Linked DNA regions of Coturnix japonica. The protein of the gene in region 3 purifies or fractionates together with the protein of the main gene of each other region. This does not show direct contact. Links are inferred from orthologs where the notes say so. Each region holds a gene or a part of one and is shown on either strand. Other genes may lie near its edges. The genes, in order: COP1, cyclic AMP-dependent transcription factor ATF-7 and FOSL2.

What was found.
Region 1: the proteins of FOSL2 (region 3) and COP1 purify together in Homo sapiens (affinity purification with mass spectrometry; 3 studies listed by BioGRID and IntAct, counting the BioPlex papers as one, with this or other methods). This does not show direct contact. The link is inferred for Coturnix japonica from reciprocal best matches to the Homo sapiens genes FOSL2 and COP1.
Region 2: the proteins of FOSL2 (region 3) and cyclic AMP-dependent transcription factor ATF-7 purify together in Homo sapiens (affinity purification with mass spectrometry; 3 studies listed by BioGRID and IntAct, counting the BioPlex papers as one, with this or other methods). This does not show direct contact. The link is inferred for Coturnix japonica from reciprocal best matches to the Homo sapiens genes FOSL2 and ATF7.

The regions. Positions count from the first base shown.
Region 1 is NC_029523.1:4,925,530-4,929,176, reverse strand, and holds part of COP1 (E3 ubiquitin-protein ligase COP1), read left to right. Parts: intron 1-1,110; coding exon 1,111-1,246; intron 1,247-3,647. UniProt on the Homo sapiens protein: E3 ubiquitin-protein ligase that mediates ubiquitination and subsequent proteasomal degradation of target proteins.
Region 2 is NW_015439867.1:313,206-316,852, forward strand, and holds part of cyclic AMP-dependent transcription factor ATF-7, read left to right. Parts: intron 1-1,572; coding exon 1,573-1,672; intron 1,673-2,677; coding exon 2,678-2,791; intron 2,792-3,468; coding exon 3,469-3,615; intron 3,616-3,647. UniProt on the Homo sapiens protein: Stress-responsive chromatin regulator that plays a role in various biological processes including innate immunological memory, adipocyte differentiation or telomerase regulation.
Region 3 is NC_029518.1:24,459,961-24,463,607, reverse strand, and holds part of FOSL2 (fos-related antigen 2), read left to right. Parts: intron 1-1,370; coding exon 1,371-1,478; intron 1,479-2,531; coding exon 2,532-3,041; 3' UTR 3,042-3,647.

The DNA.
Region 1 (3,647 bases), on a different chromosome or scaffold from region 3:
TAAGGGAAGCTTAACTGTGGTGTAAATTAGCGACCTCGGCTGCACAGGCAAATGATGTGTACCTTTCTGCTGCTGCAGTGGGTGCTGTGGTTTAATAAAAGGCAAAGTATTCAGTAATGTGACTTGCATACTGGACTACCTGCAATCCAGGGTGCTGCATGTCAGAGCTGCAAGGAAGGCAAGGGGGAATTGCTGCAGATTCTGGGGGTTGCTACAAAGCCTGAGGGCTCTGCCTGATGTTTGACTGCCGTTGCTTGATCACATTAGGAAAGCTGGCTCGTCCATGAGACATGGCTGTAAGTTAGGAATTCTTCCTTATATAGGAAACTCTAAATTTTGAAATGGTTGAAATAAAATTCCTTTAGTACCGAAGAAAGTTAAGACTCGTGAGGTTTCGGGGAATCATTTTTAGCCCTCTGTACTGTAATTTACTTTTAACGTTTGTAGCGAACTGTTCCATTTTCCACAGAATATTCATCATTATTATTCACGCTGGCTGAATTTCATCTTGTCTGCTGAAGGTCATAATTTCACAAAACTTACAGCACATGGAGTCTGTTGGTTTCATGCTTGTCTCCTTTCTCTAGCCGTGAAACAGCTCTCCCTCAGCTCTGTTGCTTTTGGAGTAACAAGAGAAATACTTCTTGCTACAAGTTTTTTGAGTGTAATTGACACCAAATGTAGGCATATTGTACCTGAAGTACAGTTCTGGGGGAAAGGAATATATTTTTCACTTCCATAGAATGCTAGACATTCTTTACAGTGCAATTTGATGTGCTTAAGGCTTTTCTGTTAATAAACCTTATGGCCCGTAGGCTTTGAATTTGACTAAAATAAGTGAGCTCATCTATCAGGAAAGCGTATTTATGATCTCTAGGCAGATTCTCAATGCAGTAGGTTCATTGGAAGGACTTAATTTATGCTCTGAAAATCCTGCTGCCTTGAGGGAATGCCAAAAAGATGAAAGAGAGAACCTATTTTTGACCAAGAATCCTCCCCAAATAGCAAGCAGAGGTGGTAACACATGAAGACACGCATCATGTTTGCCGTTGTGTTTATTTACTTTCTTATTCATTTTTCACCCTCTGCAACTCTTCCACCTCTCCCTAGATGACAGCAGAACCACAAGCCAGCTGGATGAGTTTCAGGAGTGTCTATCCAAGTTCACACGCTACAATTCTGTCCGGCCCCTGGCAACGCTGTCCTATGCTAGTGACCTCTACAATGGCTCCAGCATAGTCTCCAGGTGAGAAATTTGGTGGCTCTAGCAGTGCATTTCGTGGTGATACAGGCTGCTGAGGCAGAGCTCATTGCTTGTACAGATCATAATTTGTTTAATACATGTGTAACACTTTGGCTACACCAAAATAATTTTGTGATGAACATGTGGTTATCATCGGTCTGTGAATGTGCTTAAGAGTCACAGTAGTACCTTTTCTGCCAGCTGATATAGATTAGAACCAAGTGTGGAATCTTTGAGAAGCCTTTCTAGTAAGACATGAAGGTTTTGTTGTAGGCTCGATCCTCTTCATGGTACAGTTGCATTAAAAATAATGGAGATCTAGCAGTTTAAGCCATTTTTCCTGATGCTGGTAATGTTAGGAATCTGTGGTGTTATTAAATCTTGTTTGTGGAGCCAGTTGTAATGGCAAATATTAAATAGCTAAGTTGTTGGTGACTGCGATTGCTTGACCTCTGCTAAGTGTTGGAAGCTCTTTCTGCCGTGCTTAAACTGGTGAGGGGGTGGTTGTGGTAAAATCAGCATAATAATTCTCTTTGTGCCAACAACAACTCTGCACCCTTCTGCCACGTGGGATGATCATGTCTTCTGCACCACTAAGGTCTGAGCTTGCAATGGACTTGTTTAGACATATGAGCTGGTGTAGGGAGCCTGCTTTGGCAGGGGGGTTGGACTCGATGATCTCTAGAGGTCTCTTCCAACCCCTACAATTCTGTGATTCTGTGAAATGTCTTTCAACAGAATCAGTTTCTTCTAGTTTCATGCCACGAACCAAGCTCCCTTAGGGATCAAGCCTGAGAAAGCACACGGGATAGGGAAAAGCTGCGACCTGCCAGCAGGCCATACTTTAAACTGACTTCAGCAGCTGCGGAAGCATTCCCTGGGGGATTTAATTAGTCTGTGGTAACTTGGTTAGAGCTGTTGGTGGTGTTGGGAAAGATGATGCAATGTGCTAATTGGGATTTTTTTTTCCCTGTATGGCATACGTGCAATACACACAAGATTCTTAGGGACACATTTAACAGATTTAAATGCATTTGTAGAAGTAGCATCATCCCTAATTTGTAGGTAGGGAGCGTGAATTCCAAAGTGGCCATACCTGGGGTCTTGAAAGTAATGCTACAATGGCATGATGAATTGAACTCAGACTTTGAGCCTTGGTCTAGTGCTGTATGACAGAGCCATCCAGACAGTGACAGAACAGCTTGACTGTTTCTTGAAAGACCACAAGAAATGTGTTATGTGGAGAAGCCAAGGCATGTGTAGCATAAAATACATATTTTCTTTTAAAGCAGCATTGATCCCTTAACTGCTGCAATATGTAGCAGGAATGTATAATGTCCGACTTAGTCACAGAGGTCAGAACACAATAATCACTGATCTGACGTGTATTTAACCTGTGCTGATTGGGTTCGTGCTGGCTGCAATGAAATGCAGATGGGAATCTCACTGCAACGTAGACAAACTTCCTCAGCTACCAACTTCAGCATGGATTGGATTTTTCTCCTTTGCCCTTTCTTCTCCTTGACATTCTGCAAGAACAGCATTTTTGTGGTATTTGGTTAGAAAATACTGGAAGGGCAGTAAATCTCGCTCCGGTTTTGAAGGTATTATAATTCTTGGGTGAAATATACATTTGAATGGTATTTTACTGTTGTTAAAAATGAAGATAGAGTGGGGCCTCCATCCAAGCTAGTGCTAGAATCTGTAGTTACCTAATTTGCAACACATTTAAGCCCCCAAGAGTGTGGCTTCCACCTTTGTGTTTCTCCCTTGCTTAAGCCTTTCGTTTTATCAAAGCATTTAAGGGATGTTTAGGGGTTTCAGTGTGTGGGCTGACTTAAGACATTTTGCGTTTGAGTGTGTCCTTAAGTGCCTTGGTAAAAACAATGCTGCCAAATGTGCTTCCACTGCAACTCCAGTTTGCTTCTGGCTATCCAGACAGTTCCTTCCAAGTTTGAACTGGTTAATCGAGAGTTTATATGTACTATTTGCTGGCCAACATGTTCAGTTGTTCACCACTGCTCTTCAGCCAAATTAGTAGGTCAGAAGCATCAATGAAATAAAAGTCAAAAAGAGAAGTCTTACTGCTTAGCTGCTGCTGTTGACACAAGTGCATTTAAATACAAAGCAAAAATGACTTATCAGTAGGTAATCCTCATCAACTCACCCCTCCAAACAAGGAAACAAAAAACCCAATAACCAAAAAATAGAGAAACAACCCAAAAGCAACCCGGTGGTATTTTTAAGGGATATTTCAAGTATATTTAAAAGTGGAACGTGGGATTGACCTGAAGTTTAGTTCCCTTGTGTGCAGTTTAGCTTGAGGTTTTCTTAAAAAAAGGATGGTATGAACCAACAGAATGCAAAGGTGCCTGGTTTGCATTGCTGTAACTCCTTAGCATTT
Region 2 (3,647 bases), on a different chromosome or scaffold from region 3:
TGCTGTCCATGCTCTGTGCAGTGACCACAGGGAACCATTGGCCTTAATGGCCAGCAGGGCACACTGATGGCTTGTGGTCAACCATAGGTGAACCAGGACACGCTTTTGGCTCCTGTCACCCTTGTTGCCCCTGGAACCCCCAGGTCCTTCTCTGTTAGAGCTGCTTTCCATGGGCACAGCCTTCATTTACACCGATGGGACTCTCAAGCTGCCTTTGCAGCCTGGTGCAGAGCAGAGAGCTGAGCGAAGCTGTCCATAGGAAGCTGTCTGTGTCTTTAATGGCTTTGGGGCCATTTAAAGGGCCCCTTCTGCAGCCCCCTGCCCTCAGCACACTCAGCATCTGCCTCAGGAGCTGTTTGGTTTTGCACAGCAATCAACTGCTCCTTTTTGCCCTGAGATCCATCAGCACGATGCTCACTGCTGGCTGCAGCCCTCGGGAGATGCCTGTGTTCTGCCCCTATTCAGCCCCTATTCAGCCCCTATCCTGCCCCTATCCTGCCCCTATTCTGCCCCTATTCTGCCCCTATTCAGCCCCTACCCTGCCCCTATCCTGCCCCTATCCTGCCTCTATCCTGCCCCTGTTCTGCCCCTATTCTGCCCCTATCCTGCCCCTATTCAGCCCCTATCCTGCCTCTATTCTGCCTCTATCCTGACCCTATCCTGTCCCTGTCCTGCCCCTATTCTGCCCCTGTTCTGCCTCTATTCTGCCTGTAACCTGGGCTGTTTGGCACAGAGTCCCCCCCTCACATGGAGACATGAGCAAATCAAACTGGAGCAATCTGGGCTTCAATGGGGTTTTGTGTCCTCTGCAGATCTCAGGGCCAGATCCCTCCCCTTGCTCCATGGGAGGGGTTTGGCTGCAGCCATAGTGGGGCCGCAGCGGCCGCGGGGGGGTTGTGAGCGAGACAGAGATGGAGGGGAGGGCTGTGACCTCCCCACAGCTCGCCTTGTTAGCCTGGGATTTTCAAAGCAGCCTGGAGGATTTGGGATGCCCAATAGAAATGAATGAGAGCCGAGCGTTGGCGTTCCCAGGGCAGCCTTAAAAATTCCAGCCTGAGTTATGGGCACGCAGAGCCCCCCGCTCTGACCCCGCTCCCCCCACCCCGCCGTCTCTCCGTGCTGGCTCCATCCATCCCCCATCCATCCCTTGTGCTGGACTTGGAGGAGGGGGCAGCGTTTTTCCTCCCCTCCCTGCAGCTCTGCTCTGCTCCCAGCTGCTCTGCACACCATCCTGCTCCCAGCTGCACCGAGCACGAGTTGCTCCAGTGATGTTTTCCTTCCTCTCCCCATCCATTGCTCCATTTTCTCCCCCCTTTCCCTATGCAGGTCGGTCAGAGCCTGAGTGCAGCGCTCTGAAATGGAGCGAGATGGAGCGAAATGGAGGCAGGGCTGTGCGAGCCCGTTCATCTGCAATGGAAAAAGCCCTTGGTTGTTTTCATTTGTAGCAATGAGGCTCCATCCCCCACCCCCTACACCCCCAATGTGCCCTTTGGAAAGGGAAGAGCCTGCAGTTTGTTCTTGCTCCCAATGTTGGCCCCAAATAACCCTCAAACCCTGGGTCTGTGTTTGCAGGTCGCCCACTGGTTCCCTTCCACTCGTCGTGCAGCTGCCAAACGGGCAGACCATGCCTGTCCTGCCCGGCCCCCCCATGCAGATGCCGTCTGTGATATCGGTAAGGGAAATACAGCACAGCTCTGCAAGGTGGAGGGAGGGAGGGAGGGATGGAGGGACGGCGCTTTTCCCCCTGCCAAAGCACTTCCATGCAGTAGAAATTAAAACGCATCCCCCCCCCTGCGCCAACAAGGCTTGAGCAGGAGGGGAGGGTGGGCTTGGATGGGGGGAGCAGCTCTGGCAAGGCAGTAATGACGGGGAGATCGCACTAGAGGGCAATCAGTCTGGAGGAGAAACAAAGCCGTGCCCAGACAGATGGTCACGCCGCGGATGGGGCTGGGAGCTGCAGGAGCTGCTGCTAAACCGCCCCCATTTGGAGCAACGTGCTGCAGGCGGAACCAGCCGAGCTTGCAGAGAACGTGTTGCTCTTTGCAGGCCAGCAAAGCCTCCACGGAGCGCAGCGCAAATGTTCTCCTCGCATGTCGGGCTGTTTGCTTTGGAACTGCCCACAGTGCAGAGCTCAGGAGCAGCTCTGAGCCCCATCAAGAGCCCCAGCACCCCCCTACCCCCCATGCACGGATCCTGCTGCGTGTTCTGGCTTTGGAGCAAATCAAAGCCAAATCTGTGTCAGTGCAGGCAGCTCGTGGGCACGCAGATCCCTGCACGGTGCTGCTGCCTGCAGGCACAGCTTTGGGGCTGCAGTGCTTTGCAACAGCGGACCTGAGCGGCGTGCTAACGCAAGTGCAGGTTCAGTTTTCCCCTTGCTGAGGGCAGAGATCTCTTTGCTTTGCAGGACCTGACGCTTCCATGCACCCTCGGTAATCAGAGCGTTCCATTCCCACCCAGGGATGGGGAGAGGAGGGAGGTGTGGGGCTGCTGCAGCCGGGCAATCCTTCACCAGCAACCGTGGCCACCAAAGGGGAGGCTGCTGCCCTGGGCTGACAGCAGCGCTGATGGATGGCAGCAGTTAAACACCGAGCTGTGTCGGGGCTGATAAATGCGCTCGGTCGGGGAATTATTGCGCAGCTCGTTGGCTCCTAACGCTGCTTCGCTTCCTCCCCATCAGCTGGCACGGCCCGTGTCCATCGTGCCCAACATTCCCGGCATCCCCGGGCCTCCCATCAGCAGCAGCGGCTCCGTTTCCCCATCGGGTCTCCCTGTGCACTCAGAAGCCAAAATGGTGAGTGTTCCGTCTGCACCGTCCCCCCCTCAATGACTTTTGCAATGAGCAGCTGCGATACGGGTCAGGTTTGTGCTGGGATCAGGTGTTGGTGGGGCTGCACTCGGTGCTGGTGGGACAAAGCTCAGCCCAGAGTCGCACGGAGCTGCTGCTCGTAGTTCCAAGGTAACAGATGGGCTGGAGGTGGGTTTGGGGAAGGCAGAGCCAAGAGCAGGGATGCTGCGCTGCAATCCGACGAGCTGGGTAATGGGTTTTGTGCAGAGCCTTCAGCTAAAGGCTTCCATTGTAGAACAAAAGGCAGCAAAACCCCATTGGTTTTCAGTCAGAACGGGGGCTTACAGATCTACCTCCTGCCATTCCACGCTGCCATCGCTCCCATCAGTCAGGTGTCTGTGGGGCTGACAGGCAGAGCTGCACATGGGGTGAGATAGGAGCCATCCTGCCCCATTGCCCGGAGGGGGAGATGGGTCTCCATCCTCCAGCCCTTTCCCATCCCCGTGTGGTCCCACTGGGCGGTGGATCAGTCGCTTTGGGGTGAGCCCAAAGTGTCTTCGCTTGGCTTTGGATCGACCACTGTCACTTCTCAGTCAGCTGGTTCCCTGGGTGGGAGAGGAGCTGCATGAAGCCTCAGCAGGTTGGGGAAGGGGTGACCGATGTCCCTTGTTCTCCTCTTTCAGAGGCTGAAGGCCAGTTTGACGGCGTCTTCCTCCCTGAACGGCAGCAGCCTGGTGGTGGGCTCAGCCAGCACCATGGTGACCGCGCGCCCGGAGCAGAGCCAGATCCTCATCCAACACCCCGACGCTCCATCACCAGCTCAGCCTCAGGTGTGCAGCTGCCCAGCCACAATGCTGGGTGT
Region 3 (3,647 bases):
GAGGGTACCAAAACCCACAGGGGGAGGTGCCCCTGTCACAGGACAGGGCATTGTTACCTGCAGGTAGAGGAGCTCTCAGGCCCCAAGTCCTCATTGCAGAGTCCCAGCTAGCACCAGAAGCTTCTCTGTCCCTTAGCGTGTGCCCAGAGGTGCGCTGCCTGCTGGTGAAATTGTTGCCACGGTGCAGAGGAGCCTGCAAAAAGCAGAACAGAGAGAGGGGAATGCCCAGCGGCTGAAGTAAACTCCCTGAAACTGCGGAGATCAAAATTAGGGAAATGAACTAAACCAAAACAAACCAAAATGAGGTTAGAATAAAACTAACGCTAAAAGGCAGCAGGAAGACAATCTCGTTTGCAGTTTTAACATCTCTGAAGATACTAAAACTGAAAGCTTCTATGAGAAGAGGGTTTTCTTTTTTTTTTCTTTTTTTTTTTTTTTTTTTTTTTTTTTTTTTTTTTTTTTTTTTTTTTTTTTTTTTTTTTTTTTTTTTTTTTTTTTTTTTGTTTCTTTTCCTGTCCCTTGCCAACAAGTGCCCTGCAGAGCACTCATCTTGGTTCTGGGCTCGGTCGCAGTAATGCCAGTGTAAGGTCAGACTTAGGCAGAGCAGGACGTGGTGTGGGTGCTCTGGTTGCCACTGCTGGGGTTTATAAGAGCTCATCTCAAATCCCCAAAGCTAGGCCTGACCTCACCAGATCCTGTGGGCTCCTGCTCGCTTCCTCTGGTGTCGCAAGAGTGTAACTCTGGGTTTCTATGGAATCGCTCCTGACTTACATCAGTGGGGATGTCAGCTGGCCTCAGGAAGCCCTTGGTATCACTGGAGCCTTGCCTGCTGATGTGAAAAGCAGTCTGTTATCGCTCCAAGTGCTTGAAAATCTGAGGTCAGATTTTGGGATGGTATAAATAATTGTTGCTTCACAGACATCATGAGAGCTCTGCTGATCTCCCTCTCCCCCTACCCCATCCCCGACCTTCAAGTTAACAACTATTTTTGTGTGGGAAGCAGCAGATATTTTCTTTCAAGAAAGAGGCGCTTACAACATCACACTCTGGTTTTGCTTAATGTACCACCCAAGTTGTGAAACAATCAGAGCATCTTTTATCTGTTGGGCCTTGTTGCAGATTCACTGTCCTCTTACACAATCTCCCCCCGCTGCTCCCCACTCTGCCTTCTCCTCACCCTTCTGCTAAGACCTGGTGCTCGCAGAGATACTGGGCGCTTTCATCTTCTGCTGACATCAGTGGAGAGGGGGAGTGCTGAGCATCCTGCTGGATCAGGCCTTCTTTTCTTTGCGCTGCGGTTAAATCCTCACAAACTTCAAGGAATGCCTTGCTCAGATCTGATTGTGGGTTTTCTTGGCACTTGCCCATAGCTGTCGCCCGAGGAAGAAGAGAAGCGAAGGATCCGGAGAGAGAGGAACAAGCTGGCAGCTGCTAAATGTCGTAACAGGCGCCGAGAGCTAACAGAGAAACTCCAGGCGGTACGTGCTCTGCATGCATTTCTCCCTCCTTGCTGCCTGCCCTTTGGACCAGCTTGCAGGGTGTTGTTCTTTCTCTACCAACCTATCTGGGGCAGATGCTGTAAAATGCATGCTGCCTTCCCCCTCCAGGGCTGCCCAGTGGCGTTGCTCCTGTGTCAGCAGTGGTGAGGGCTCAGCAGCCTAATTTCTTTTCGCTGGCTGCCCAAAACATCCTAGGAGGTCTTTTCTCATAGAGCCTGCTGACCAACGTGCATCTCCCTGCTGTGAAAGCACATCGGTGAAATGTGCTGCTGACTCAAATCTGGGAGGTATTCTCAGTGCAGGGGAAGCTGGACAGTTTATAGGAAGAATGTAAGGATTCTCATGACTAAACTAATATTAAGTGAGAGGAGTACAAACTGGGAGGTCATATCCTGACAAATTGAGGGTGAGTACTTCTGCAAGCTCCTCACACAGGAAAATACTAATTGCTCGCAGATTGACTATGAGCCATCAGTGTTACGTGATCAGGGGAAAGGTAAATGGAGTAATCCTGGGATGCATCAAGGGATAATCCAGTGGAGGTGAAATTGTTAATCTTTTGCACAAGTCACAGGCAAGGCCTCATCTAGGGTATGAGATACAGAAAGAAAATGAAAACAGCTGAGAGATAGCTTTATACTATCTATATCTAGGAAATGAAAAGAACATGACTTAACCTTAATACAGAACCCAGTGGTAGAGGATCTGAGTCCTCCCTGCTAAGATGTCTCTCATGTAGGTAGCAAGGGCTATATTTCCCCAAGAGTTGTAGTAACTGTCCATGATATAACAAAGGTGGGCTCATGAGAAGACTATTTATTTCCCTTAGATTAGTGAAGTTTGGAAATAGCCTCTAGGTAAACACAGGAAGTGCATAACGCTGAACTAGCAAACACCTGGTGCTTGCTCAGCTCATGAAGAGGCTGGGGTGTATCTGCCCACACCAGCTGGAAGCTGGACTTGATGGCCATGTTCTCGGTCAGGAGCAGTGCTAGAACCTCAGATACTTACTTATTCCCTTTTTGTCTGCAGGAAACTGAGGTGCTGGAGGAGGAAAAGTCAGTCCTTCAAAAAGAGATTGCTGAGCTCCAGAAGGAGAAGGAAAAACTAGAGTTCATGCTGGTTGCTCACAGCCCTGTGTGTAAAATCAGCCCCGAGGAACGTCGGAGCCCACCAACCAGCAGCCTCCAGAGCGTTCGGACTGGAGCGAGCGGAGCAGTGGTGGTGAAGCAGGAGCCCGTGGAGGAAGAGATCCCATCTTCCTCCTTGGTCCTTGACAAAGCTCAGAGGTCTGTCATTAAGCCCATCAGCATTGCTGGAGGTTATTATGGGGAGGAGGCACTCAACACTCCCATCGTGGTGACCTCAACACCAGCCATCACTCCTGGTTCCTCCAACTTGGTGTTCACTTACCCCAACGTCTTGGATCAGGAGTCTCCTCTCTCCCCGTCTGAGTCCTGCTCCAAAGCTCACCGGAGGAGCAGCAGCAGCGGCGACCAGTCCTCGGATTCCTTGAACTCTCCCACCTTGCTGGCATTGTAATCCCCTGAGGCCCCCCATTGCCAGTGTGTTACATCCCCTGCCCAGCTCCATGGGGAGACCCCTCCATGGGATTAGAGACAGGCACAGGATCGTTCAAGCACAAGGGCAGCAAGAACAAGAATGGGGAAATGCTGCAGCTCCAGGAAAGAGAGTGAGGGCCAACGCCAGCTCTCTGGAGGCAGGAAACGGCAAGGGTGGGACTGATGCACCAGGACTGATTGTGGAGAGGGCAGTTTCTCCTCTGTAGGGTCTGCCGGTGGAAACCTCATCTTGGCACCATAGTGGACTTGGAGAGCACTGCTGGCCAGGACTGAAGGCGAGCTGCAGACAGTTGCTAGCCATCCCTTTGCTTTGTGAATTGATCTGATCAGTTATGCTCTGTGCTTAGATCTTTCTGGTTAGTTACCTTACAACTTCTTCTTTCCTCCCCTCTCTTTCTCTGCCTATAATTTCCAGTGTTGTCGATCCTATGACATTTCATCCAGTTGTTCTGAACTCTAAAGGATCTTTCTTGGGATGGGCTGTGGGAAACATGCACAATTGCCTTGTTGGGAAGGGGATGCCTGGGAGCTGGTGAGGGGGGACCAAGAGGAGCCCAAGGGCTCA